Mus musculus: one gene and its partners. The protein of the gene in region 2 interacts with the protein of the main gene of each other region in a pairwise test. Links are inferred from orthologs where the notes say so. Each region holds a gene or a part of one and is shown on either strand. Other genes may lie near its edges.

The links.
Region 1: the proteins of Pnma1 (region 2) and Mcm7 interact in binary tests that used the Homo sapiens proteins (3 or more experiments, as listed by UniProt). The two-hybrid records come from large-scale screens. The link is inferred for Mus musculus from reciprocal best matches to the Homo sapiens genes PNMA1 and MCM7.
Region 3: the proteins of Pnma1 (region 2) and Hoxb9 interact in binary tests that used the Homo sapiens proteins (3 or more experiments, as listed by UniProt). The two-hybrid records come from large-scale screens. The link is inferred for Mus musculus from reciprocal best matches to the Homo sapiens genes PNMA1 and HOXB9.

The regions. Positions count from the first base shown.
Region 1 is NC_000071.6:138,166,290-138,175,947, forward strand, and holds the start of Mcm7 (DNA replication licensing factor MCM7), read right to left. Parts: upstream 5,595-9,658; 5' UTR 5,468-5,594; coding exon 5,437-5,467; intron 4,978-5,436; exon of another isoform or gene 4,521-4,977; intron 4,108-4,520; coding exon 4,028-4,107; intron 3,436-4,027; coding exon 3,271-3,435; intron 3,185-3,270; coding exon 3,060-3,184; intron 2,990-3,059; coding exon 2,809-2,989; intron 2,659-2,808; coding exon 2,521-2,658; intron 2,194-2,520; coding exon 2,044-2,193; intron 1,884-2,043; coding exon 1,769-1,883; intron 1,684-1,768; coding exon 1,552-1,683; intron 1,346-1,551; coding exon 1,262-1,345; intron 1,151-1,261; coding exon 757-1,150; exon of another isoform or gene 697-756; intron 478-696; coding exon 394-477; intron 1-393. Other genes in the region: Ap4m1 (AP-4 complex subunit mu-1), read left to right, coding at 5,902-5,959, 6,060-6,190, 6,498-6,604, 6,683-6,779, 8,461-8,571, 8,655-8,735, 9,623-9,658. UniProt on the Homo sapiens protein: Acts as a component of the MCM2-7 complex (MCM complex) which is the replicative helicase essential for 'once per cell cycle' DNA replication initiation and elongation in eukaryotic cells.
Region 2 is NC_000078.6:84,143,322-84,153,085, forward strand, and holds Pnma1 (paraneoplastic antigen Ma1 homolog), read right to left. Parts: upstream 5,169-9,764; 5' UTR 4,607-5,168; coding exon 3,545-4,606; 3' UTR 2,810-3,544; downstream 1-2,809. Other genes in the region: Mideas (ELM2 and SANT domain-containing protein 1), read right to left, coding at 9,081-9,240, 9,514-9,710.
Region 3 is NC_000077.6:96,267,245-96,276,923, reverse strand, and holds Hoxb9 (homeobox protein Hox-B9), read right to left. Parts: upstream 5,595-9,679; 5' UTR 5,383-5,594; coding exon 4,866-5,382; intron 2,301-4,865; coding exon 2,065-2,300; 3' UTR 329-2,064; downstream 1-328. UniProt on the Homo sapiens protein: Sequence-specific transcription factor which is part of a developmental regulatory system that provides cells with specific positional identities on the anterior-posterior axis.

The sequences.
Region 1 (9,658 bases), on a different chromosome or scaffold from region 2:
AGACCATGTGAAAACCAGTTTAGAAACCCGAGTCATCTGTGCCATGGAAGCACTTATGGCCAAAAAGCTAGACCTGCCTCGGACAGGATTTAGAGAGTGAGAGAGGTTCCTTTATATACAGGAGGGAAGTAGTTTTTGGAGACATCCCCAAAATGACTCAGGTTTCAGAGTAGCTAGGATTATATAAGGCCTGCTGCTCTGTCATCCCAAAACAGAAAAAAAGTTTCTGATGATCCCTTGGCTACAGAGAGACCCAGGCTCAGCTACTTTTGAGGCTGAAATAGATAAGCAGATGAGTCCTTTCAAGACTCAATGCTTTCCAGACACACTTGGCATAAGACAATGCCACAGACCAGTACTCTCCCCAGACATACCCATCTCCACCCCTCCTACCTCATAAGTTTCATGTCCAAAGGTTCAAATTGGGCAGGGGGCTGCCGGCTGTGCTGGTGGACATAGGTGATGTGCTGGGCCAACCTGGAGAGAAGACGGGCGTCAGTCTTTAGAGCTCTAACACCCTGAGAATCTTGACTCAGTATCCCCTTTTAGCACCACCTCTTCTCCAAAGCATGGCAGACAGGCCTCCCAGAAAACCCTCAAGATCTTAGCTCCAACCTATCTCCATATGAACTGCAAACAAGGAAAGGTGTTTAAGGTGTCTGCACACAGACAAGTTGAGTGGCTTTCTGATTTTACCTCCCTGCCCCAAAGTCACTAAAATGGGCTGTCTCTATGGGTGTCATCTACTTCATTCACCGGAGGTCATTGTCTCTGTCGGGCCGGTCTTGAATCAGCCAGAGGAGGTCGAATCGAGAAAGCAGAGCAGCCGGAAGCTGGACGTTCTGCTCCAGACTGCGGCGGGGATTATATCGGCCGTAGGCAGGATTGGCCGCAGCCAGGATGGAGCATCGGGCATTGAGCGTGGTGAGAATCCCCGCCTTGGCGATGGAGATGGTCTGCTGCTCCATAACCTCATGGATGGCTGTGCGGTCAGCCTCGGCCATCTTGTCAAACTCATCAATGCAGCACACGCCCTGGTCAGCCAGCACCAGGGCACCGCCCTCTAAAGTCAGTTCTCCACTCACAGAGTCTCTCAACACAGCTGCTGTGAGCCCTACACCAGAGGAGCCACGGCCTGTTGTGTACTGACCTGCAAAGATAAAGAGCAAACTGCTGAAGAAAGGAACCGCTTTCCCCAGGCCTTCCAGAGGCCTTAGTGTTTATCAACCAAACACCAAGCCTCATCCCTGTTCACACTCACTTCGCGGTGCCAGACGGTCGATGTAAGATAGGAGCTGAGATTTGGCCACACCAGGGTCTCCCATAAGGCAGATGTGGATGTTTCCTGGCAAATGAGAAGGAAGCCTGAGTGATACTCTTTACCCAAGTTGTCCACCAACAGAGAAGAGCACTTGAGACCTGGTCCCTTCTTAAAGTCCAGACTACTTCTAAGACACAACAACCACTAAGGTAAATCATCAACTCTTGTCATTTACAGACTCTCGTGGGATGTTTTTTTACCCTCCCTCCTAAGTCTCTTGTCCTTCTTACCTCTGATCTTCATGCCTTGAGGAGACTGGTCCACACCACCCACCAGAAGCAGCAGCAGCGCCTTCTTCACATCTTCATGTCCATAGATCTCCGGAGCAATAGAAGCGGCCAGCTTCTCATAGAAATCCTCCTCTGCAAAAAATTAAGCCATAGCATTTCCTTCAGGACAAAATCTAGGATGGAGCTCAACTCTCAACTTGAGCTCGTGGTCCCTCACCTGCAATCTGCTTCAGCTCCTCTGAGCTCAGCTCTCCGGCCCCAGAGACATCATCGTCACTCTTTGTCATCTTCACAATCCAGTGGGCTTCCAGGTAAGTTTCTGAGAGTAAGCCCTGGACACAAGAGTTCCCTTTAAAGTCCCCATCACCAGAGTCCCTGAGAATTTTTTATCCACAAGTTCCACCTCACTGATTTTCATTTTCTAAGGGTGTGAAGAGTGAGTGGGTGGATGAGGAGGCAAGGCAGCTATTTCCTCATTCAAAACGCCCTCACCTGTGCCATCTGTTGGAACCCTGTGCGCAGGACTGGCAAGAAGATGCCAGTGACGCTGACATGGTCACCAGGCTGGGCAATTCTTGTGTTCTCACCTTCTAGAACCACTGTGATGCTACGAGGGATGTTTCCCACAGGAACTTGGTCACTCTAGGAGATTGGGAGGTGTGGGGGAGGGCATGACACAGAGCACATGAGACAAGGAGAAAAGCGAGGCAGACCTGACCCAACTGACCACCACCCCAGAAGATGCCCATTTGATGGTAAGATTCAGTCATCCCAACCTAGATGACTTCAGGAAGGAAGCTGAGTTCTTCTTATCCTCCTCCCAATAGAACCAGAAAAAAACTTCAATTAAATCACCTCCCGATTTTCTGACTAAGAGCAAATATAAAAAAATTCTAGGTAAACCTCTCTCCCAATCTTTCTTCCTATAATTTCATAACCAGCTGCAGGACTCATATCCCCTAAACTCACATGCTCTTGAATCTTCATTTCCTGGAATTTAACAAATTTGGAGCCACGAGTCTGTAGGTACAGCCGCCCCCCTGAGCGATTGGTCTGGCACTCCTGGCTGGGGCACATGATCAGAGGCATGAAAGTGGGAGACTGGATCTACAAACAAGGAAAACAGGAAGTCTTACAATCACCACAGTAACCATCTCTGCTCTGTGTCTTTTAAAATAAGGATTAAGACCTCCTTGAAATATTATCAGTCAAAACGACCCGAGGTATCAAATCACCATCATAGAATTGTATACGTACTGGCTGGTAGGTCTCTGCCCCACACTGATCACAAGTGTATGTGGCCACCACCATCCTGGGCTTGACTTCAGACACACGAGTGACAATGCCACGCACAGTTAACAATTTCCCCACAGAGTCAGCTCGTACTTCCCGGATCACTCGAGGCTTGCTGCTACTTGGGCCTCGGAAATACAACTCACTAAAAGAGAAACATTTGTCAGCAAGTCCCCGGAGAGCAAGTCCCCGCCCTTTCCCACAGAGATACTCACAATCTTCGCATGAGTTCAGAAGGATACTGGTTTTGGGGGTTCCGGACTGCCCCAGGGTCTCTGCTTCGCTGCTCCATCATCAGCCGGTGTTCAATGTAAACATCTAAGACATCCTTATTCACCACCTAAAAGAAAGAAAAGGCGAGAGGCAGGACAGAGAAAGAAAACAGGGCACGAGGCAGACGAGCTCAGAAACAAACCAGCCACCTACCTCCTTCTCCTTGTACTCAGGCAAAAGCTCTTGCACAACATCACCAAACAGTCTTGAGTAGCGCTTGGCATTCTCGCAAATTGAGTCGACCAACTCAGGGTCATCTTCAGCTATGTCATCCAGGTCCACATACAGTGCCACTTGTTCCCGATGAGCCAGATGAACCTGAGGTAAAGAAGAGATGCTAACACTTTAGGGTCAAGTTCACCTCACCCACAAAAGCTCTTCTAAAGTCACTATCCTACCACTGGGGAAAGAACAGAATGCAGTACATCATGGTGGTAGATGTCTATAATCCCAGCACTTAGGATTCAGAAGGCAACAGAGTGAGGAGCTCAAAGCCAACCTCAGCTATGTAGCTACACAGCGTGTTCTTGATGGTGGTCTGAGCCACACAAAGACTACCCCTAAAAACTAAGAGCTAGGAATGGATGAGGTGGCTCAGCAGGTTAGACATAGCCATCTAGCCAGATGATCTGAATTTGCTCTCTAGAACACACATGGTGGGAGAACAGACTTCCACAAATTGTCCTTTTGACCTCTACACATGCTATGGCATGCCCCTGTGAGCACAAACACATAGGAATAAACACGACTAAAACATCTAAGAAAACCCTTAAGCTAAAAACAAAACAAAAACCCAACTTTGTATAAAAACAATCAGAATCAAGTCATTCACTGATAGCCAGACTTGAGATAACCTTATACAAGTTCTTAACACGCCACGCCACTCCCCAGAACCAATCCTGAGACTTACCAACTGGGTCCCATACTTGAACTGCTTCTTTCCAAGCTCATTCTCGTAATAAAACTCTTGGAGGAACTTCTTAACTTTTTCTACAAATATAAAATAAAAACCAAGTCTTTGCAGTGAGGTGTAAAGACCACTGCTGCCAAGGACTAGAGTTCAATCCCTAGGGCCCACCCACAGGTTGGAAGAGAACAGAGTCCTGCGGGTGTCCAGCACTATGATATGCCCGTGCGATCTCACACACACAATAATGTAACAAAATAATGTAAAAATAAATAAAATAAACAATCAACTTTCCTTTTAGATTCTTTATTTCAAACTCTTAACAGAAACCTAAGAAACCCACTTTCACTTAAGACGAAACCTATGAACTAGTTAGTTAAATGAACATTGAAAACAAATCGACCAAGTTCTCCCCAAAGTAGGCAGTGTTCCTTTTCACAAGTCCGTTTTTACACAGAGAAGAATATAGGTCTTCGGGCAGCTACAAGAGTCTTACCCAACCTTCCCAAGAGAATTCCACACTCTGTCTTAATTAGGAATCTCAGTTTCTTCAATTCTCTCAGCTCGCTCCCAATCGACTTAAGGTCCTCGGCTCTCGCTCTACCAGTACAACTCTTTTTCTTAGGCTCCCGCCAGGACGTCCGCCACTAGGCCTCCTCTGCACTCATGCCCGGCTCCCGCCACTGCTTCCGCTCTTAGTAAACAAAGAAGCACATGGGCCCAGATTCCAGCCGCCTCACAGCCCAGGATTCCTCCGCCCGAGACGGGTGGCCGAGCGGGGATTGGCCAGAACGCCAAAGGGCCATTCGGGTCCACCACACTGCCACCTTTCGCCACCGGGCGCTTAGCCTCCCAATTCTAGGCACGCCCCTACCTACTGCAGCTATCTCCGAGGCCACCGCGCGGAAGGACACTGTTTACACACGACAGTCCCAAGATCGGGTAGCGCCACTTCCGCCCGCCTCTACTTCCGCTTGGAGGGCGGCCGAAAACAACCAATCGCGGCGCGTAGCGGTCTGGCAAGCCCCGCCTCTGGACTTCGGCCAGTCTCCAGTGGACGCGGGAATTCGCTAGCGCCCCGAGCAGCAGAGGCTGGCCCAGTAACCTAGTCCCTTGGGTCACGTATTGAATGCATTGAACCAAGTCACCCGGTCTCTACCGAGCGCGCCCCTCCTTTGTGGACTCCACTGGGTTCTCTCCATAACACAAACACATCACCTTTTCCAAGGAGGATTGCTTCCTCCATCCTTGACGCCCACTGCTTATTGCAGGCGCAGTTCGCCTGTCCTCGGAGTCACAGATCCCGGCTCACTCCCCCTCCCCCGCCCGACCCCAAGACTCCAGCACCCCTCAACAGGTGCAGGTAGAAGTTTCCCTCCGAGGACGCCGCCCCCAGCCCTATAGATCTTCACCTTTTTCGATCGCGTAGTCCTTAAGCGCCATCGCTGCCGGGGACGGTGTGGCAGGACTTGAAGGGCTCAAAAATCTCTCTCTGGGGAAGCAGAAAACGAACGCGCGGCGGGACGTAGCCGGCCAACCGAAATTGGCGCGAAACGTCGTCACCCATGTGACCCGTGCGGCTGAGAACCCGCCAATCAGATAGGGGGTTCCCAACTGCTGCCAGCCCCTAACTTTAACCAATCAATGGACGAGTCTAGATTGAATGACAAGGGGCTTGAGGGCGGGCCGTTGAAAGATTGCCAGATCCTGGCGGGTTGGACACCCTGTTTCCCGCGGTTCGAAATTAATGCTCGCGAGTGTGTGTGTGGGAGGAGTGTTTCTTAAAGCGCCAGCCTCCGTGCGGCCTTTTGTTCCGCGTCCACAAGGCGGGGTGGGTTCAACTTTCACCGTGTTCTCGTCTATCCTCCAGAACCGCCATGATTTCCCAGTTCTTCATTCTGTCTTCCAAGGGGGATCCGCTCATCTATAAAGACTGTATCCTTTGACCCGGGAGACGGGGTAGGGTAGCTGGGTAGAAATCGAATCCAGATCAGTCTGTGTCGCCTGTTCCTTAACTATCTTTCCACCTGGCTAGTCCGCGGGGACAGTGGTGGTCGTGATGTGGCAGAGCTCTTCTACCGGAAGCTGACGGGACTGCCTGGAGGCGAGTCCCCGGTTGTCATGGTAACTACTGTGGTTGGTGTGCAGGGCCTTAGAACTGTGGAGGTGGGTGAGTGCCTCCTCCCTGTCAAGGGCAGCTTGGTAGGAAGCTTGGGGGCGGGGGTGTGTGTGTGGGGAGGATTTGTTTATAAATGTTTTGAGTACTAACAAGAAGCCAGTTACAGAGCCATGCACCCTATTTTTTGACTATCAACAACTTTGAGAGGTAGATACTACCTTTCCACGTTAGGCGGCCAGGTCTTAGATCTGGGGCATCGCCCATCACTAGTAGACCTCAGGGTGCCATCTTGCAGGTTTCCTTACTACAATTCTGGTCTTTTCTTAATGGCCTCTGTCCTCAACTCTGCCTCAGTATCACGGTGATCGTCATTTTATTCACATCAGACACAGTGGGCTCTATTTGGTGGCCACAACCTTAGAAAACGTCTCTCCTTTCAGCCTTCTGGAGCTGCTTTCCCGGTGAGTAGAGTTGGGACAGGCACTTAAGAAGGAGGGCGTGTGAGGTTTATTCACACATAATTTGCTGTGTTTCCTTAGGCTAGCCACTCTCTTGGGTGACTACTGTGGCTCACTCAATGAGGGAACCATCTCACGCAATGTGGCGCTTGTCTACGAACTCCTGGATGAAGTGCTGGTAAAGCCCAAAAACTTTGGTCTTTTTAAGTTTATTTATTCACGTGTGTGTGTGTGTGTGTGTGTGTATTTGCCCACATCACTGCACATGTGTGGAGATCAGGTATCTTCTACTTGTTGTAGAATCTGCTAAATCCAATATAGATCCACCATAACTCAAGCACTAGGTCAATGCAGATGACAAAAAGGTATTGTAATCAAGCCAGTACTGATCAGTCAGGGCTGTAGAACAGACTCCTGAACTTGCCTAGCAGTTAAAGGCTGACACCACAAAGTGGAGGGGAGTGGGGTGAGCTGTAGCACTGTCCAATCATATTTTGACATAAGGGGTTGAGCAAGGGAACTTTGACCAATCAGATTAGGAGTAGTTTTCTGGGCTTGAGAACACGAGCTTAGTTGATCTTGCCAGCAAGATGGAGAAGTTGTCCTTGAGGTGTCTGAACTCAAACAGCTGTTCTCTTACCAGCTGTCCCTAAGATGGCGGGACTCAGACAACTGTACAAGTTGTTCCTAAGATGTCTGGACTCAGCTGGGCAGTGGTGGCACACGCTTTTAATCCCAGCACTCGGGAGGCAGAGGCAGGTGGATTTCTGAGTTTGAGGCCAGCCTGGTCTACAAAGTGAGTTCCAGGACAGCCAGGGCTACACGGAGAAACCCTTGTCTTGGGGAAAAAAAAAAAAAGATGTCTGGACTCAGGCAACTATTTACAACAGAAGCCGTTCAGCTATTGGGAAGTCCTCAGCTCCCCCAGAGCCTGGGATCTTGAATTTAGCTTCTCCTTATGATTAAATGGAGTCTAAAAATGAAATGATTTTATTTAAAATAAGTTTCTTTTGCGTGTTCCCAACCAACATACTGTCTAGGTCCCTGGGATTGAACTAAGGTTGGCTTGCTTGATAGCAAGCACCAGCAGAGCTATCTCACAGGATGTCTGTCTGTCTCCCTGGCTCCGTTTCTCCACCTGTGTGTCCTTCTCTTTCCTGTTGGACAATATCGGGTATTGGTCCTGACCTTCTACCTTGTTCAAGACAGAGTCCTTTGCTGGTCATGGTGGTGCGTGCCTTTAATATACCAGCATCCAGAGGCAGATGGATCAGTTTGATTTTTGAGGCATTCCCAGTCGACATAGTGAGTTGGAGGCCAGCCAGGGTTACATGAGACCTTGTCTCAAAATAAAAATAGAAGCCAGCCATAGTGGTGCACCCAGGATGCTGAGGCAGGTGAATGAATCTCTTGAGTTCAAGGCCAGCCTGATCTACAGAATGAGTTAGGACAGCCAGGGCTACACAGAGAAATCCTGTCTTGAAAATAAAAATAAAAATAACAAAGAAAAAAAAAGAGAAGTGAAAGGCAAGCTCCCTTTGTTCCCCAGTGCACGTACACTAAGCTAACGAGCCTGCAAGCTTCCTGGGATTCTCCTGTCTCTATTTCTCGTCTCTGAATGGGAGCACTGGGATTATAGATGCTCATTATCATGTCCACCTTCTTATTTACTTACATTTCAGGGACTGAGCTCAGGTCCACACACTTGCTCAGCAAGCCTTTTACCCACTGAACCAGCTCCCCAGCTCCAAGGACTTCAATTTCATTCTCTTATTCCGTGCTACCATGAAGAAATGTCCTCATGGAGTGTGTGGTTGGGAGGTTGCGGCCACACCATTTCAACTCTTTCTGTCCATTAGGATTATGGCTATGTGCAGACTACATCCACAGAAATGCTGAGGAACTTCATCCAAACTGAAGCTGTGGTCAGCAAGCCCTTCAGCCTCTTTGACCTCAGCAGTGTTGGATTGGTCAGTAGCTGGGAAAGAAGAGGGGCAGGAGGGTTGGCTGTGAGCATCAAAGCTGAAGGTTTGTTGCTTTGGACGCTTTGCAGTTCGGGGCAGAGACACAGCAGAATAAAGTGGCCCCAAGCAGCGCAGCCAGCCGCCCTGTCCTGTCCAGTCGTTCTGACCAGGTAAGGGAAGGATCCGTGAGGCCAGACTTGATGAGGGTTTTTTGTTGTTGTTGTTGTCCTAGGACTCGATTATCTTTCTATTCCCTTTGATGTGTATTTCTTCCTTTACCCCTGGCCTCCCATCCCAGGACTCTGCTTCAACTCTCCTGTCCCTTCTGCTGCCTCTTTTATTTTAGGCATGAGTGTATGTGCAGAGCATGCTTTTGTGTGGAGGCTAAAGGACCAGGCCTTTGCTGTCATTCTCAGGAACGCCATCCGCCTCCTTTGAAACTAGCTTGAAGCTCATTGACTAGGCGGGTTGGCTGATCCAATGAGCCTCAGGTCTGCGTATCCTCACCTCTCTGGTGTAGGCTATAGGTTACCTATAGTACCTTGGCATTCACATGGATTTTGAGGATCAGACTCAGATCGTCATATTTATGTGACAAGCACTTTTTTTGACTGAGCCATCTCTGCAGTTCCTGTTCTTTTGGTTTTTTTGAGATAGGCTTTCCTTTGGTCCTCCAACCCAGGCTCTTACCTTGTAACCTAGGCTGGTCTTGAACTCGTGGCAGTCCTCCTGCCTCAGCTTCCCAAGTGCTGAGTTTATAGGCATGTATCACCATGCCTGACATTGCCTGTCCATTTGAAGACAGGGTTCCAGGCTGGGTGTTCGTGCTTTTCATCCTAGGACTTGGGAGGCAGAGGCAGAGAGGCAGAGGCAGGTAGATCTCTTGTGAGTGTGAGGCCAGCCTGGTCTACAAAGCAAGTCCAGGACAGTCAGGGCTCTTTACACAGAGAAACATGGTCGAAACCCTGTCTTGAAAACAAACAAACAAACAAACAACAAACAACCCAGAAAACAAAACAGATTTTCAGCTCCATAACTCAGATCCTTTCTTTCCTAGAGCCAAAAGAATGAGGTGTTTTTGGATGTGGTGGAG
Region 2 (9,764 bases):
CCATGTTCATTCTGAAGAACGTTTTAACATCTGTTAATGCTTTGGTAATAATCTTTTCTACACAGGACTTTTGTAGCATGACTTTATGACTAAACTTATTGTGCATTAAATTATTTAGTAATATTGAGTTTCTGAATGTTATTTTGTGAAACTTGTTTTAAAATAGTAATAAATCATGTTATTTTATAAAAAAAAAGAAGTCCTTTGGTTACTGTATTCTAGTTAATATTAGAGTAACTTTCATGATATTTGATTTCTAAAGCAATTCAGCTTTTGAATAGTAGAATCCATGCATGTGGTGAGAGGGCCAGGGAGGAGAGAAAGGGAGAGCAACCAGGGTGCAAAGACCCTTAACTCGTATTGATTGATGATTGATTGATTGATTGATTGATTGACTGACTGACTGACTGACTGACTGACTGACTGACTGACTGACTGACTGACTGAGGCGAGGTCTCAGGTGTAGCCCTAGTTGTCGTAGAACTCACTCTGTAGACAAGGCTGTTCACAAACACAGAGATCTGCCTGCCTCTGCCTCTGCCTCTGCCTCTGCCTCTGCCTCCCAAGTGCTTGGATTAAAGGTGTGCACAGCACACAGCTGAATCAGTCTCTGCTAATTTCTTCCTCACTTAGCACTGGTGAGCATGTCCTTTGCTGACTTTCTAACTCACCCACCATTATGTGTCCACTGGAAAGAGGATTCCCACGGTCAGCAAGCTTGCCTGCCCATGATCATCCCTAGTAAAGGTTAGCCGAGAGACCCCTGAGAAACAGGGTAACCCCACAGGATCAGGAGCACCATACATTTGCCAGTGTACAGTCTGTGCTGTCAGTCAAAATGTACTTTAGTTACAGAATAAAACCGCCATGCAGTTTCTATGATCTCACTGGTCTTTGAATATACCTTTCTAAAAAAAAAATCAGAATTTAAAATTTTTTGAGCTTATAGAAAGAAAACAAATCAAATCAGTTACTTTTAATTCAGTTTTCTTGCTCAAAGGATGTGTGTCAGCATCTCAGGAGACTGAGGCAGGAGGCTAGGCAAGTTCAAGAATAGCCTAGGCTACAGAGGAAACTCAACTCAAAGAGACTGGAAAAGGGGAATGCTCACATGTTTCGTATTCCATATGAATGTATGGGCCTTACATTTAATTAAATAGTAAAATACTTTTCCTCATGGGATGCAATCAATCAGCTATATAAAGAAAGTATTCTAAACATGGTGGCACAAGCCTATATAATACCAGCCCTGGGGAACATGAGGCAGGAGATTATAAGTTCAAAACCAACCTCAGCTACATAGCAAGTTGCAGGACAGCTTCCTTTGTACAATGTGAGACTTCTAAAACAACAAACCAGAACAAGGGGCAGGCCTGCCGTACAGTGGTAAAGTGCTCGACCTGCATGCGTGTGATCTTAGCTTCACTCATTGCTACTGAAGAAAGCAATCTAGCAACCACCGAGGTGAGGTGGCATTGGCAGGACAGGGTGGGCTGGTGAGGTGTCTTGGCATGTAAAGGCTGTCACCGTAAGCTGCCAACCTGAGCTTGATCCCCCCCAGAACTACTTGGTGGAAGGACAGAGCTGATGCCTACAAGTTGTCCCGTGTCCTCCACATGTCTTTGCCCACAATCAAAGCAAGTACTATGTTCCTATGTGAAGCCAAGGATGCCGACAACATAAAAGATGCAGACTCCATCCTTGTTTTTAAGAACATATATCTAAGTGAGAGTGGTTGGTTAGCTCAGGATAGCGGAATTCGAGCTTGTATAAAAGTGTAGGAAGTCAAATCTTACGTTGAGGGACCTACGTGGTAGAAGGAGAAAATGGGTTCCTGCAAGTTGTCCTTTGACCTCCATATTCATACCATAACATATACACCAACATACATACACACAATATTTTAAAAAGAAAAATCTGGACCAACACATAAGAATATTAGCATCCACCAGCTAACAGTCACAATTAACAAATGGCAGAATGGCAGAGTCCTGTCCCCCACCCCCACCCTGCCCCGCCCCATTCTCTGCCCTGCCCCATTCACACTGGTGCATCCATGAAGCAAAACCTCAGAGATTGACAGTGCCTATTACCCCAGCTCTAGTCTCAGACCCTAAAAGAAAATTTCAGGGCATTTCCAGATTGACCCGGGAGCTCAGAGGTGGGCATCTGCAGTCACTGAAACTTATAAAATGGCTATTGGGAGACAAACACTTTGCACACAAAGTGGACTAGATCATTGTTTCTGTGCCGAAACACTGTCAGTCACACAATGACTTTAAAACAGAAAGGTTGCTAGCTAACCTAAGCCCCAATTCAATTTTTTTTATCAGATTTCATAGAAACATCTCTCTTTGGTTGTTATCTCTTGCCTTGAGGAAGTCATGTGGAAATTGAACTCACTGAAAGGTAGATGTAGTAGTGTCTGCCTAGAATCTCAGCCCCCAAGAGGTAGGCAGAAGGATCACAGGTTCAAGAGCAGTAGCCCATGCTACACAGTGAGACAGTATCTACAAGAAATAGCTAGGGGTAGTGGCTCAAACCTGTAATCCCAGGACCGCTGCAAGTTTGAGGTCAGCCTGGGCTACAGAGTGAATTTCAGGCCAGCCTCAGCTACAGAGTGGGACTGTGACAAAACAACCAAGGAACCACCCAACCAAGATGTATAGGTGACACTGCAACTTAAATTCATAGCAAGGAGGGTAATTTTTGTTTTGTTTTGTTTTGTTTTACATGAACAAAAGTCCTTGTTAGGAGAAAAATATACGGAGCTAAATTAACTGAAAAATTTTATACGTGTCAGGAAAAATGAGAATTTTCAAATTTTTATTTGTATACATCTATTCAATAACTTCAAACTTAGAACCCTTAGCGCTGACCAATTATTAAATGACTAGTCTTTGAAGTGGGGGAAGTGTAGACTGGCCACGGCCACTCCCCCTAGGACTTCTGTCTTCCACCGTGAGGAACTGATTGTGCAGCTCGGTAAAGGCCTGGTTTTTTCTAACATGCCACTTTTAGTCCGAGGATCCTTTTCAGGGAAACTGATTCCAGCGTTGAGCCGTGAGGAATTAGAAATCCGCATTTTTCAAGATGAGTAATATCTTCTAATAGAATCACATTCTTTCCATCGATACAAATTGGGAACAATTTACAGTAAAACCATCCACAGTGTTAGTAACAAACACAAGAGTTTGTACTGTACAGTCTGTGAACCTGGTGCGCGGTTAGCATCAGAACCTGCAGCTTCGCAACCACCTTGACAGGAAGTGTCACAGCTTCACGTTTGTGCACAGCTGTCAGAGATGTCGCCAGGAGGGCTGGCATCAAGCATTCACTTTAGGCAGTAAGGACCACCTTTACCGTTGCAGCTCCTGACAATCACACACTTCTGTGAATGTTACAGGAATATGCGGGCCTGACTTCCCCATCCCATCCCTCAGGAAACAAAACCAAGCCAGGAGGAGGCTGGGTGCTTGCTTTGAGTGGCAGGCTTACTAAAACGTCACAGGTATATCAAAAGCAGCCTGGCCAGTCCTAGGACTCAGAAGTGCCCCTCCAGGCCTAGCTGCAAGAGGGCGGCCTCGGCCTCCTCCTCCTCCTTCTTGGCTTCCTCCTCTCGAATCTGCACCAGTAACTGGAAGAGGTTGGGTGCAGGCCCTTCCTCAGCCCCGGCCAGCCACAACTGCCTTCGGAGGGCCCCACTGTGGTTAGCCCCAGCGATGACCTGCTCCAAGCGAGCCTGGTTCACGTTATCTTTATCAATGACCCCCTTGTCTACTACCTTTTGCAGCAGAGGCTCCAGACGGATAACATACGAAGATAACTTTTCTCCTGGGTTCTGGTAAGTGTTCAGAAATCTGACCTGTGCATCTCTAGAGCTCTCCACACTCCCAAAGACCTGCTCAAGAGCCTTCAGGCATTCTGCGGTCGTTATGGCGGCGTTGTTGGTCTTGAGGATGCGGATGACGTCAGCAGCGGGGCCTCTCAAACTCTCCATCAACCGCCGTCTCTTTTCTATATCCGACACCTGCCATTCCTCTATGATTTCATTTGAGTGCTCCAGCCAGGAATCAAAGGTTTCCTCGCCAGGCCCGGGAATGTCCTTCCCGGAGAATAACGTCAGCTTCTTATACCATATGGACTCAACAAGAGGTTGAATAACATTATCCAAAATATAGTTGAGCATCTCTGCTGGCATTTCCGGGCCTGGAGCTGGAGCAGGGTTCTGAAACCCAAGCACACGAGCAACATCTTGCACGGTCCACCCTTCCCTAGCTAGAAAGAGGTGCAGCCTTTCCAAAAAAACTGCGTCGGAAGTGGGGGGTTTAAACACCACTTTCCAGAGCCCTCCTTTGCCTGGCATCTCCCTGGGTATCAGGGAGTAATCCACTGCCCCAGTGAGCTCTAACAAGGCTGCTTTAGCATTTTCTTCCCTCCAGAACATTCTCCCCAGCACTCGATAGGATACCTGGGGCATCGCAGCTTGGAGGGTCTCTTCAATTTCGGTCTCATCACAGTTCACAGGGATCCCCCAGACCAACAGAGCTCTCTGAGAGTTCACATCCATTCCCCTGCACCAGTCTTCCAATAGTGTCATAGCCATTTCACCCAACTATTAAAAGTGCCAGTTCTACAGACACTGCTTGGACTGGCTCACGAGGCTATAGGGCCTAGGACAATACAACATGCTCTCCTCCCCCGGTAGGCCAGGGGGCGACAAGCTTCAGGCAACCACAATTACCAAAAGACACCAGAGTTCCTTCTTGTCCCTTCCGGGTCCCAAGTCAGGGTCGGGAGCCACGGGACACTCCGCCTATCACTCGAATGTCGCCCCCTTTGGTCCGGGCAGGGAGGGCTGAACTGGCTGCAGCTGTGTCTGGCGTCACCGCTTAAAGAGAGGGAGCAAGGTGGGCTCAAGACTGATGACTCCGGGCGGGAGATGGCTGGGTGCGGTCGCGGGGCGTGGCAGCTCCTCCCACCTCTCCCCGGCACGCCGGCGGGCTGAGGGTCACGCGAGGCCGTGGCTTGGCTACGTGGGGAGAGGCGGCACTCCGAGCACCGGGAACCCAAGCGGCAGGAAGCACGGGATGGGGGAGAAACTCGGCTGGAGGCAGCTCTGCCTAGCGCTTATGTCCGCGCGCTCCCGCAACGGCCGGCGTGCAGCTGCAGTGGAGGGCGGAACCGGTCCGCTTGTCTCCCCCAGTGTCACCGTGACAACTGTGTCCATGACGACGCGAGATACGCGGGCTCCAGAGGATCTGGCGGTTGCTATGGTGCCAAGAAGGGGTTTGAGGAGTCTATTCTATGACGGCGCATTTCTTTTTACACCCCCCCCCCCGCCTTCCCTGATTCTTTCTTAGCTATTGCTACGCATGCTTTATTTAATTTTGCCGTGGATTTAAGCTGGCTTTATTGATACGCATCTACCACGACGGACTTATCTCATATTGCTCATCCATTCTATGAATTCAGTCTTTAACTCTGACTTCCGGGAACCACCTGATCCCACTCTGCAACTACTTGGTTCCTCCCCACAAAACTAGGAAAGAGAATTCCATCTACTGGTTCCTGTGAGTGTCTGACTTGGCTTTCTTGTTTAAAGTGTGTGTGTGTGTGTGTGTGTGTGTGTGTGTGTGTGTGTACACAAAACCCCGTGACTACTTACCTTTGTAGCCAGGCAAACTGCAAACATATTGCCTTCTTATCCTTACTGAGTATACAAGATAGCAAAACAGAATGTTTATGGCCCCGAAAAGGCGGGTAAGTTCTCTTCAAGCAAAACAAGGCCTATCAGTCCCAGACGGCAAAAACACCCCTATAAGAATGTGGTATTCAACAATGAATTTTTTTTAAAACCTTATTTAATAAAAGGTCTTAAGATACAGAACATTCAAAAGTAAATAAGTTACATAGGTACATTACAATCACAGCAAGATTCTCTTTAGTGTATTAATTTTTTTTTTATAAAAAGCACACAAAAAATAAAATTTTCAGTCTGGTCTATCACAACTGTACACAAAGAGGTAATATTTATATTTATATATATATATATATGTACACTATTTTAATATGTAACAGTCTTTTTTAAAAAGAGTGCCACAGGCAACAAACACATGAAAGGCAGTGTCTGACCATTTTGTTTCAAAATAAAAGGAATATACTTACTTTATGCTATTAAAATATTTGTACACTAATTACAGACTGTCAAGGCTGTTCTGTGCTCCATCCTCTCCAGCAAGGCCTTTAACGTAAGAGACAAATGAGGAAAAGTTCTAACAGCTGCAATTTTTTTTTTTTTGAGGCAACAAACACAGCCAAATGTGGGTTAGACACAACTGTTTTTATATAAAAATATGCATACTTCCTGTAAAAACCTAAGGGGTTAGGCTTTGCCAGTCTAGTAATAAATAATAACCCAGAACAGTGAGCCCCAATAAAAACATTTCAACAGCTGAGGCTTGAGTACTATTGCACTCTTCCTCCTCTGTCTTTAACATCTGGCACATGAGAAGAAAGAGGTTGGGTGACTGAGGCAGTTAAATATAGGCAATCCCTTTAGACATCATGAGCACAGGGCCTCTGTGCCGGGGTGGGAGGTGGGGCGGCAAGGACGGTGGGTGGGTGGGTACTTTAGCTCTAAGGGGGCTGCTGAAGGCTTGGAGGACAGCAGTGAGGGCAAGAGACCTCAGAGATGGCCCAGAACACAGGCACGGTCAGTGTCATGGCCTTCTCTGAATGCAGGTGGAAGCTGGGGGACAGGCAGGGTGACACTGTATAGGGACGTTATTGTCAAACAGGGAGCTCTGAATAGAAAGAACAACAAAAGCCAAGCCCAGTGTGTTCGTACGAGAAAGCACCAGTAAGGACGCGCCTGCGCCAGCCTCCGGCCGCACGTGCATCTCCGCTTTGAACTAGTTCAGTTTCCACACGGGCGCGCTGGAGCATGGGCCCCTCTAAAACAGTGTCTGGTGGGATCACTACCTAAAGGTACCATCTTTATCCCCCCACCCCCACCCCGGCTATAGTCATCTGGTCTCTGTGAACTTAGAAAAGTTCTTGCTTTTTTGCTGTTTTTAATTAAGATTTCTAAGGATTAGTTGGTACCACTGAGCAGAGGAGTCTCATGTGGCTGAAGGATCTCATGTGGCTGCTATCACCTGTCCACCAAGGGGCCTGAGCCAGATATGGTTTAAATAGAAAAGAACCTTGGGAAACCTAAGTGGCACTTTGGGGCTGAGCTGTGAAGGCACGCGTTATAGAAGTGATTTAGAAGAGATCCTAAACTTGTTGCCCTCCTGCTTCTAGAGGGTACCACATTTTTGTAATCCCGGGACTTCGAGCTGATAGAAGCCTATGAAGGAAACAAACCGGGGAAACTGAAGGTTAAGGTAACTGTCTAGGTATCTAGGGGGACAGGTTTGTTATTTCCACCCGCAGCTCTCTCATAGAACCATACTAATGTGTAAATGAATGTAAGAAATACCCAATAGTCTACAGCTTCAAAACAAAACCCCATCTCTATTTCCAATTCCCAACGGGCTGTAGGCTATTTCCGCTCCTTACTAACATTCTAAACAGTCAGACACACGGTCACTTAAGACTCTCTTTTGTACAACTAAAATTAAGTGATGATATCAGAAAAGTGGCTTTAGGCCCCTACTGAACTGGAAAGCGAAGGGGACTCTAGAACATTCCAACCCTTCAGTAATTCCAAGCCAAATATGGTTTCTTCAAGCCAGAATCGAGGCTGATAACCAAAACTAGAATTCTGGCCTCTTGCCAACTCCCTCGAGCATTTGAAAGTACAGAAAAGGCAGGACAGAGACCTGCCTTTGACCTCACCCACATCTGCTGGCTTCCTGTGACTGATAACACTCCCCGCCTTCCCAGCCCGATCAGTTTCTGTCATTCCTGCGGCCAAGAGCCACAAGGTAAGGGACCCCAGGGCCATGGAACTGGGGGAGGGCTTGGGGATGCCAAAAAGGTGCCTTATTTTGGGATAAATGCACTTGGACCTCTGGAAAGCAAGAGGCCCCTGGTCCCTGAGGATGTTAAAACTTAAATATTAAAAAAAATAAATAAATAGTTCCCAAATGACAACAAGCCACAGAATGAAGGCTCCTGTCTAATCTAGTTAGGAGACATCACCCTCCCAGGGAAGAATCCAGCAAACTCCAGCATGCCGTATTGGGGGGAGGGAGGACTGTGAATATCAACATTGAGTGGGGTGCGGTGGGATCAGCTGGCAGCTACTGAGAACTCGACAGGCAAGAAGGAAGCTGGCACCAAAGAGCAGGCCAGGCCTCTCTAGGACCTGCTTGAGGCTCCTTTAGCAGCCTCCGGGACTCAAAGGTATAAAATGCTAGTCATGAGTTTGTCAAAAGATCTCTCGGGCAGAGCTCTGCATCTTCTGGCCTCTGAACAGTTCCTCTCCGTGTAGTAGGCTGAGAGCAGGGCACGAACTCCAAACTTCTGAGAAAACTTTGACAGCCCCAGACGGGCTGTTAACAAGCAGCAAAGGGGTTGAAAATAGCCCTCCGAGATACGCCTAAGGAAGTGGGGACCTCCAGACGGGATTGTTGGAGCAACTCCGGCCTGAGCATGACAGCACAAGGACAACACAGGTGTTAAGGCCACCGCTCTCTAAGGAGTCCCTCTGGGGGCTTAGATAAAAGTCTGCACAGCCTTCCAGGTCCTCTGCGGAAGGAGGAACAATGCTGCCATGGGGCGAGCTTGTGCTTGGCTTGCCGTGGTGGCTTACTAAGGACCTGGGATGAAAGAGGCACAGATGCAACAGCAGAGATCAGAGAAGCAGCTGTAGAGCTCTAGCCCATTCCAAGTGGCCCGGCCTCTCTAGGCTCCGGGAAAGCAGAACTCGGGACCAACCAGATACTGAGAGAACTGGATCCTGCAGCCCTTAACACTGTCCTTGGCCTTTGTAAATAAAAGAGCCGGTTTATTTTTCATTATCGGGTTTGTTCTGCAGAGCAAAGTCCAAGTGACCCTCTCCTGGCCCCTTCTAGAGGTTCCAGGGACTGGGGTGCTGGGGAGCCCGGCAATAGGATCCAGCAGGGTCCTCAGCCCTTCTCCCCTTCGCCGCTCTCTTCTCTCAGCGCCTGCTGATGTGCGGCGGCCGCTGCAGCCTCCTTCTCCTTCAGCCTCAGAGCTGCGGCCTTCTTCTCTTGCTCTGCGTGACTCTTCATGTGAGCACTGCGGCTCTTCACCTTGTAAAACACCCTGCGGCGGGCAGGAAGGGCTCCGATGAGAGAGTCACCCCTCCACTCTCCTCCCTCAAACCCCAGCCGGTCCACCTAGCCCCTACCCTTGCCCCGCCCACTCGGGAAGTTCCCGCCCCGCCCCTTCATATCATGCCTGCCTCATGACGCCATTACCCTGGAAACCCACTGAGCTGATCAAAAAAAGCAGATCCGGGGCCCCGCCCCCAGCAGCGTCAAAGTCCCTGCCCTAACATTAATGGGTTCCTCTGAAGACAAGGAAGGGACTTCTTACCTGCCGCACTTTTTACAAGGGAAGGTGTTCTCCTGGTTCTGGGTTTTATTAAATGCCTCGGCTTTTTTCTTCTTCTCTGTGAAAGGCAGTGCCCTTCGGGACTTCCCCGGCCCCTCCCTCGGCTTCTCTGAGGTCTGGATACCTGCAGACCCCGGGGCGTTGGGCTCATGGCTCCGGAGAATGAGAACGTCATTGGCCTGGAGACAAGCAACAAACAGGGCGTGTCTTAGAGGCAAGTGTGAAGGTGAGGT
Region 3 (9,679 bases), on a different chromosome or scaffold from region 2:
GCGGAGGTCTCCAGAGCAACTTTGTGAGAGACCCCTTGCTATAGGGAGACTCTGCTCCAAAAGATGTTGGAGGTTGTCTTTCCTCCTTCTCCACTCTCCTCGTTCTACCGGAAGAGCCCTGCTCAGTTTAAGCCCAGGTCTTGGAACTTGGGTACCCACCAGGTGTCAGCACCACCAGAGCAGGTAGCAGGATCTAAAAGGTCAAAGGAGAAAGCCTGTGACTGTGGACACTAACTTGTCTTTGTTTGAAGCCATGCTTTCAGCAAATGGACGCTTTGCTAAATGACCAGAGGAGAAGTGACACAGAATAAAACGCAGGAGAGGTTTGTTTTCTAGAGTGATATGTATATTTTTTGTTCTTTTTTTCCCCTTTTTCTTCCAAAACAAACAATTAGAGCTCTAGGCCCCTTGCCCTCCCCACTCCCACCCTCAACCCTCCCTTATAAGCAACAACTGAAAATCACTGCCAAAGAAATCACAAAACACAAGCACAATGTCACCACAGCCACCGACAAAAGCAAAAAAAAATTAATAAAATAAAATTCAAAGTTCTACTGGAATGACCTCTTTGCAGTCAGGAGAAGCGGGAACAAAAGTCCACGGGTGGAAGGGATTGAGAAGCAGGGAGAGCAGAGAGGCAGAGAGGCAGAGAGGACCCCCCTCTGCACGATGGGGAGGTGCGATGTTTGCCTCTTTCCTGTGCACACTGGACTGTTTGCCAGAAGCGTATGCATGCAGCAGCAACAGGATGGATACAGCAGTGGACTTTGCAGGAGGTGAAGTCCCCACTCTGAGTCTTCTTTTGGACCTCTGGCTGGATGCCAAGGGGCTCTCTTCTTCCTGGGTCAGGAAACTGGTGAAATGGAAAGATACCCACTAGCCCTGCTTGCTGAGGCCATTGCTCCTCCCGGCCCTGACTGCCTACTCTGGAAGGGAGCTGGGGAATTGATTCACAATAAATTTTCAGACTCTTCTGACCCAGCCTTCTCTATGGTGGGGTTGACCTAGCAGAGAGGAAAGGGACTTTTTTTTTTTTCCTACAATGGGAGACTTGTCTTGCTGGTGCAAGATGGGTTTGGTGGAAAGGAGAGTTGATTTCAAAGTTGGAGGATAGAGAGGAATCTGAGACTGTGGTCAGCAAGAAAAGTTACATTCTGTCAAATGGGGATAGGAATGTATGAATGGGGAAACAGCACTGTCAGGGCTCTACAACCCACAATTTGACCTCCTTTAGTTGGAAGGAAAGGAAAACATGCAGAATTAAACACTTCCTGCAGGGAAAATACGAGGGGACTCCACTAATGGTACCTTCATAAAACCACTCCCTGCTTTTTCTTGCCCTTTCTAGCTCACAACAGCTTGGGGACAGGAATGGCCACATCTGCCCACAGGCCTCCCCAGATATGGGGTCTAGCTGGCAATTCCATAGGATACATATTGGGATGTTGAGACTTTGGGACTGCAGTGCCTCATTGAGGGCATCTCTAGACATCTTCCTAGTGTGTGTTTGGATCAGGGCACAACCAAAATGAACCTGATCTGAGAGCTGCCCTGCTTGGTTTGATGAACAACGTCTTGATGTCCTTTCTCCACGATGATTAGCATAGACTCCAAACTCTATGTCTGTGGGCATCCACTGGGCTGTGTGCAGTTAAACTGTACCTGGGTGGCGTCTGGCTAGGTTACAGGGAGGGAACAGGCAGACTGGAAGAGAGGGGCTGGGGTTTTCCAGAAAAATTAGCAGGGATGCTAGGAGCTCGACTAGGGTCTCTTTCCTCGGAGCGAGGCTCATCACTTTTCTAGGAACCAAGTATAGCTAGCTTCTAACTTAATAAAATTTCCTCTTAACACCAGGAGAGTGGAGAGAGAGAGAGAGAGAGAGAGAGAGAGAGAGAGAGAGAGAGAGAGAGGCGCAAAGGAGAGGAGACAGGCTCCAGGTGCAGATGAGGGATTTTAAAGAGGAGATACTCTTCCCCACTCACTTGGGTACAACCCAGACAGCAGTGGCTTTTTGACCATCACATAAATAATAAGAGTGAGCTGGGGAAGGGGGGGTGGTCATCTTTACTCTTTGCCCTGCTCCTTATTCATCTTCTTCATTTTCATCCGCCGGTTCTGAAACCAGATTTTGACTTGTCTCTCACTCAGATTGAGGAGTCTGGCCACTTCATGCCTGCGGTCCCTGGTGAGGTACATATTGAACAGAAACTCCTTCTCTAGCTCCAGCGTCTGGTATTTGGTGTAGGGACAGCGCTTTTTCCGGGAAGAGCGGGCGTGCAGCCAGTTGGCAGAGGGGTTGGCTGAAAGAGAAGTAGCGATAGAATCAAAGAGAGAAAGGGAATGGAGGTCCCCAGACCAAGAAGGTGCGCTCACATCTCTACTCCCCTGGCATTGGAGAAACACACCCAGGCCTCCAAGATCTCAGAAAGCATCTCTAACTGGGCCAGGAGTGAATATGGACAGCTCCAAGGGAACAGTGCATTGGAGGAGATGCAGCCAAACCACCCAAGCATCTCCAAAGCTTTGACTGCTCTAGGAATCTCAGTCTTCCTCTATTTGTATCCAAATAGACCTGGACCCAGGTCAGAAGAGCTCAGTATAGCTGGAACCACACTACCAGCTAAAGGTGGCTGACCTGAAGGGTGCCTTGGCTCTAGGTTTCAGGGGAAAGGGGAAAGAAATGGGTAAGGAGTGGAGTTCTGTTCAGCCATAGCCAAGAGATCTCCTGGTGCTCCAGTCCAGTCCCAGTGAACCCTGCCTAGGAAGCCATTTTTCAGCCCTAGGCCTAAGCAGCAGACATGTGAGTCTGGGTAGCAGCCCTCCCCATCACACACCACAAATAAGAGTCTGCATTTACAGCCATGAACACCCTGCACACTCCGACTCACAAGCAACCCAATTGCAACCATTTATCAATTGCAGCCCGTGGACGGGGAGCCCCAGGGCTTCCAGATAACTTATGGTGGCAATAGCCTCTTCTTTTCTGCTACTCAGCTCACAGTTTGGTTAACACAAGTTCAGGGAAACTGGGAAGCAAAATTGCTACAGCTCTAAGATAGAGAAGCAGAGATGAGGTGGGGGGGGCGGGGGGCGGGGGGGACGACAGAAAGCCCTTCCCAGCATACCAATCCTTTTAACGGACCCAATGGAGAGGCAGAGAAAGGTGTAATTGAGTGGAAGAGGGGCACAAAGAGCAAATAACATATACAGTTTTTTTTTCTTTTTCTGTCCAGCATCCCTCCTTAGACCTCGGGACTCAGAAAAGTTACCTGCCTCCCAAAGCAGAGCCAATTACAAGCAAGATCCACTCCACCAGCTTAGCCCCCAAGTGAAAAGCTCTGAATATCTATGTATATTTTAAAATTCACTTCATCCTACACTAAGTAGCGTGTCCTGCCAATTTGCAGCGCTATTCCCTTAATGTGATTGTCTGGGATGGGACCCGCAGCCTTTTCCTCTTTCATTAAATATGAAAGAGGAAACAAAAAAAAAAACTGTTAATAATTGAGCCTAGCCAAATGGCTGCCTTGCAATGATGGGCAACTCAGGCCTAGTCTGGGGCCATGGGGTGAGGGGTCTGTTTGGGTGTTTTCTGGAGCTTTGGGAGGAGCTGTTTTGGGGATATGAGCTCCTTAATAACTCAGCCTGGCAAGTTGGAGGTATGAGGGGACCACAAGGGTCACAGGGGAATAGTGTCTCTCCTTGCTTTTCAGAGGGCAAGCATGCCCCCAGAGGACCCATTGGCCTCTCTGTTGGTGGGGCATCCAATAGGGCGAGCAAGGACCAAACTATTTGCCCAGAGGAGGAAGAGGTGAGGAGTTGACCTGTCAGTTTGTCCCGTATTGTTTGGGACCAAGAGCGAGCCCCAAACCAGTTTGTCTTCCCCATCCTTAAAAACAAACCCCTAAAAGTAAGCCTCCTCTACTCTCAGCCAGCAGCAGTTTCCACTTGGGGTTTTATTTTAGCAAGGGTGCTTTTAGGAGTGGGAGGTGGTAAGAAACTCTCCACCAAGGGTAGAGTTCTCCGCCCCTGCGCAGTCCTCCCCCTCCCTCCCCCGGGGTCCCTTTGGGTGTCTTCTCCTCCATTCTAGAGGGAGGCCCTGTCTTTAGCAAGTGATGCCTAGACTCTCGGAGAGGTGAACTGCCCGGCCTAAGTGATCGGAAGCCCCGCGGAGATCAGCGTGCAACCGCAGGAGGAGAAACGGCCGTCCTGTCGAGGATGCCCTAGAAGGGCGGGGGACCCCCGGAGGGAAGGCTCCCGGGGAGGGGCCGGCGCACCGGGGAGGGGGCTCCGTCACCGCATCCTGGGCTTCCCCCGCCCCTCCCGGCGCCTGCTGCCGACCCGACGCGGCTACTGCGTGAGATCTGCTAGGAACAATCCTCCGCCAAGCTGTTGCATCGCAAATAAAATCCTAATGAGCCCCCTCCCCCTTCCCCTTGGCCGGCAGGGACGGTCTGCGCGTGGCGCAGGCGGCTCTGCCGAGTGCTCTTCGGCCCCGTGCCCGCGCGGGCTCCGGGCCGCGCTGGCCATCGGCCCGGCCTCCTACAGTTCTATCGCAGGTCCCTCTCCCTTTTTCCAGCCCGAGCCTGGGGAAGAATGAAGGACTAGAGAGACTTGGTCCCTGAGTCTCAGTCCCTGCGCCACAAGGAGGAGTGGGGGGTAGCCTCAGTGTCCCCCTCCTGGACACCCAGCTTTTTGCTTTGCCAGCCCCTTCCTTCCTCTTCCCTCCACCCACTCTAGCCCTGCGGCCCCAGGCGCTCTGTCCCTTTACATTGTCCGCTTTATGGCCTCTCCCCTCCCCTCCCCCGGGCCTGGCCTGCAGCCTGGGGGGGATTTCCTCACTTTTTTTTTTTTTTATAACTTACTTTGATCCGGCCTCTCTTTGTCCTCGCTTCCTTCGCAAATTTTATTGTCCCCGTAGCCAGCTCTTTGATTAGACAGGACAGCCTCCCTGCCCGCCGAAGTTTCCAAACTGTACTCGGGCGTGCCCTGTTTGAGCAGCTCCCCCGGCGCGCCCAGCAGCGGCTCCGCCTTCACGGCCGCCTGGCCCTGCCCCGGGGCGGCCTCGGCGCGCGGCGCCGGCTCTAGCCAGGTGCGGAGGTACCTGCTTTCGGCCGCCGGCGCGCCCTGGGGCTGCAGGTAGGGGTGGTAGACAGACGGCAGGCTCCCCGAGGCGTGCGGGCTCAGCGGCGCCCAGGAGGCGCCGAACACCGGCGCTTTGGGCTGGAAGCTGCACGAGGGGAAGTCCAGGTGCTCGGCGTGGCCCGGCTGCCGCGGGTTCGCGTACTGGCCCGAAGGAAACTTGGCTGGAGGCGCGTCCTCGCTCTCGTGACTTATGATCGAGTCGACATAATAGCTGCTAAGCGTCCCAGAAATGGACATTCTCAGACATTATCCGCGCGCTCGCAGGGGGAAGGGAAGCGCTCGCGCCGCGGCGCCCAAGCAGGGAAAAGGTGGCACACGGACCCGGTGCAGAGGGCTTTCGGACGCGACCCCCCCCAGACCCCCACCCTCCCACCCCCACCCCCTGCTCAACTTCTCAGCCAACAAAGTACAGTGGAGCAGCCCGGCTCGGAGCTCCTTGCAAAATGATTGGTCAAAGTTTTGCGGACTGCCTGATAAAGCGTCAGCTCCGACATAAATCAATCGGGCGAGGGGGCTGCGCTCGCGCTGTCATCCGTCCTCACCGCATTCCATATCCAGGATGGATTGTTTTATGCTGATGCAATGTGCTATCACGTCAGGGCTCCGGCGGCCACGTAACCTCAGCCTGAGCTGCCGGGCCGCCCGGGCCCCTCCCGCTTTTACAGGAAGGGGGGTTCTCAACATGGGGCGATGGGGGCGGAGGAGAGGCGGAGGCAAGCAGCGGGCTGCCTCAGGAGGGACGCAGGCTGAGGAGCCCTCTCCCCAGGCAGATTGGGGGGGGGGGGAGGACCAGCATACAGGGAGGGAGAGCGCCCCAGCCTCAGAGCTGCGGGAGAGGCCCGACAGGGTAATTAAAGAGGAGGTAGTCTTGTCGCCCCCCCCCAACACCTCCACCTCCACCCCGCGGGCCCTCATTTCCTGTCCTCTGTCCCCTTGACAGAGATGTTTATTAAACAACAGCAGTACAGCGACCCACAGGAGATGAAGTAAAAGGATGAGAAAGAAGTTGGGGCTTTTATAGGACAGTTATCCTCTTTGGAGGGGGTTCAGGGCACAATTTGGGGAGATTTACGTGACTAGGCTCTTCCCTTGATCCTTTAGCAGCTGAGAGAGGCGAAAGGGGACTAGTGTCCAAAGAATCATTATCTGTCTTGAAATTATAGCCTGCCTAAGGCCAAAGAGACACACCAGGCCCTGGAACTAGAGTTTCGGGAGACTAACCAGTCTTGTTTAACTCCTTAAAATTTTTCTTGGGCCTTTGTGAAAGGCTGGGTCCATGGTCATTTCTTGTCCTTCATCCAGGAATCTCTGAGACCCTTAAAAATGTCCAGATGAGAGGGCTAATGTGGGAAATGATTAAAGGAGAAGGGGAAGAAGACTCCCCAAACGGCACAGTAAGGAACACCGGGTTACCTTCCTTTCCATCCAAAAAGGGAAAGAGGCCAGCTAAATTCTCAGCACTCTAGCGCTTTTCACCCGGAATTGCCGCTCTGGAAAAGGTCCAAATACTGACATAGGACGGTAGCAAGTACAGAGGAGTCCCCGGCATCAGTCCGTTTCCCCCACCCGCCGCCTTCTCGCCTACAATCCTCTCGTGGAGATTACAAATAGTGCATTTTATTAGCAGCTAATCTGCGGCCCTGCGCAGGGACTCCCCCGAGGCCACGGGCTGGTTTCCTGGCGGCTCTCCCAGCTCTTGCCTCTACAGCTTCTGCCTGGGTGCAGGCGCCTCCCCCGGTGTGGTGCTCTGGGAGGCCGGGCCCCTAGACAGGCTTGGTTTCCTCGGGTTAGGTTTAAAGACAGATTTCTTGGCTATTCTCTGAGTCTGGACCGTTATTAGGCAGACTGCTCCGGGGGCCATGACTCCCTCCTTAGCCTCCCCTTCTTTTAGAAAAAGTGGAACCGTTCTAACTTGGGGGTCAATATGTTTTTAGCCAGTACCCCTACTGCCCAGTGGAAGGCTGCGGATCACCTCCGAGAGCACACACACAGTCCCGCCCGCTTGTCTTTCTAAATGAAGCCATCTCGTGTCATTACGTGTGAAATACGAGGGCGAAGCGCCATATTTCTTCACATTATGGCGATTTCAAAATGATTTTTTAAAGATCAATGCGGGCGCCCAGCCGGCCCCTTCAATTCCACCCACGCTCTTGGAGAGCGACAGCCCAGCAGATCCGGAACCAAACAGCGTGAAGATCTATTTTTTTCCCTGTAGTATCCAAATGGGGAAACAAAAATCCGATGCAAATTCTTCTAAGTAGCGGTTGGACGCTTGGAAAAGTCAAGAGAGCTTCCCGGATCTGCCAGCAAGAAGCTGGGCCTGGAGCGAATGAATCATAGTTAGGGCAGAGCACCTGTTCCTGCTTTGCTAGTCCTATGAAATCTGCCATCAGTTTTACCTGTAATAAATATAGTCTTCAGGCCAAAAAAAAAAAAATCCCCTCCCCAGCCATAAATAACAGCGTTATGAAGCATGTCGAGGTGGGTATATGATTTTCTGTAGTATATAAATTAGGGCCCAAAAGGACATGTGAACTCTGGGCCGGGGCTCTTTTATTTATGGAAACGTGATGGAGCAAGGCTGTTTTTAAGACCCAAGCTGTATAGGCGCTGGGCTCTGCCCGCTGCCCTCCTGGTTCCCATTCCTCTCCCGGGCTTTGCTGCAGATTCTTCACTGGTTTAGTTTAGAGAAAGGATCAGAGGAAGAACCTTTGGGCTCCTGGCTTGTGCCCTGTAAGAGGGAGATAATCCGTTTAAATTCATATTTGTGGGTTATAGCTGCCCAGGGAGCCGTTCTTAATCCCTCCTGGAATCACTGATGGGTGAAGAGGAGACCCAGGCCTCTTTTCTAAGTAAGAAGTAGTTTTTCTAAGTAAGAAGATGCTGGGGATTGCGGGGGGGGGGGGCACACAAAGTGGAAGAGACAGATTTGGGAAGCTTGTCTTCTCTGGAGAGGTGATTACAGAAGAGAATGAACTTTCCCCCTCATCCCTGGGGTGTATACCCCATCTCACCCCCTCCAGGGGAAGACAGCAGCAGCAGCAGCAGCAGCAGCAGCAAGGAGTCTCACCCTTGCTGCAAGCTTTCCAGAAGGGATTGCTGCCTCAAACTTGAGCTCAGCTTCAACAGAGGCAAAGGACAAAATGGTCACCAGGGTGGGTGGCCCCTTGCTGAAATGCTTGGTGATCCCTGGAACCCCTCAAATCTTTTTCCCTTCCTAGGCAATGGTACCCACCATGCCAGAACACACAGAATTGTGGCCCCTAGGACCTACAGATACTTAACAAAAGTCACATTACAGTGGGGTCACTCTGTCCAGAGAGCAAAGCTCTCTGCAAGCCACCTCCAGTCCTAGAGAGAAAGGAAACCCCACATCCCCTAAAGCCCCTTGTCATGTCTTACACTGGAGCTTTGGCTGAACACAGCTGGGGCTAGTGGCATGTAGCATGAAAACAAACAAACAAACAAACAAAAACAGGAAGGCAAAACCTCTGGACCACACTGGGGCCCAGGGCAGCCAAGAAGAGAGGCTGCTGCTGACCACAACCAGCCGGGGTAAGTGCCTGCATTTTGGGAGAGTCTTTGGTGGGAGGTGGGGTGAGGGTGTCTCTGTCAGTAAGAAGAGAAAATCTAGAGATTGAAATGGGAGTACAAGGGGGGGGGAAGAAAACTGTGAGAAAAGAGAAAATAGTTTGTTTTTAGGTGATAAGCTACAGCTGATATTGATGCCTTCTGGGTTTAAGCAGATGTATTTGACTTGCGTGTCTGTTTCAAACTAATATTTCTGTAAGGGAGTCTAGAGGTCAAATATGCTCTATTATATACCTTTATAGGATATACAATTATCTTTCCAACTGTAATACTAAATGTGTCGGGGCATAGGCATTTAAGATCTAATTGTTCATATGTGGTTATGTGAATAATGAATGCTAACAGTGATTATGTCTTGTTTTTTTAAATATAACCCCAAAGCTGGTGTGCATATATTTTTTAAAAAAACAATACACCTATAGGGAAGACAAAAACCTGGATATTAATGTCTAAATTTTGGCTATACAAAAGCTGATGTGAATCTTGCCTCCTAACTTAGTATCCAAGCAAAATTCATACTACATCTTCAAACAAATGTGTGTGACTTAAAGCTGGATTCAATTACAGTGTCCTGCTGGAACATTTTAATGGAAGATGAAACAAATACCTCCAACTGACCCAGAAAAGGTCATGAAATTTGGTGACTTTTGTTATCCAGCCATGAAATCTTTTTACTTTTTACTTCGTATCTTCCCCCAGCCGGCAGAGACAGCATGCACTATGTGACACTTATTTCATGGTATTGAAGGGGATAAGGGTGGAGATATTATTATTTGTATCTTGTACAAGTGTGAAGGGAAAGGAGCCAACTGAGTGTGTCAGTCCTCAGGTGACTGTGAAGGTTATAGCACTGTGAAGGACAAAACACTGCTGCATACAACAACCTTGTTAAAGTCCCCAGGCACTGGAGACATTTCTTCTGAGCCCCAGGTTAGACTCCAGA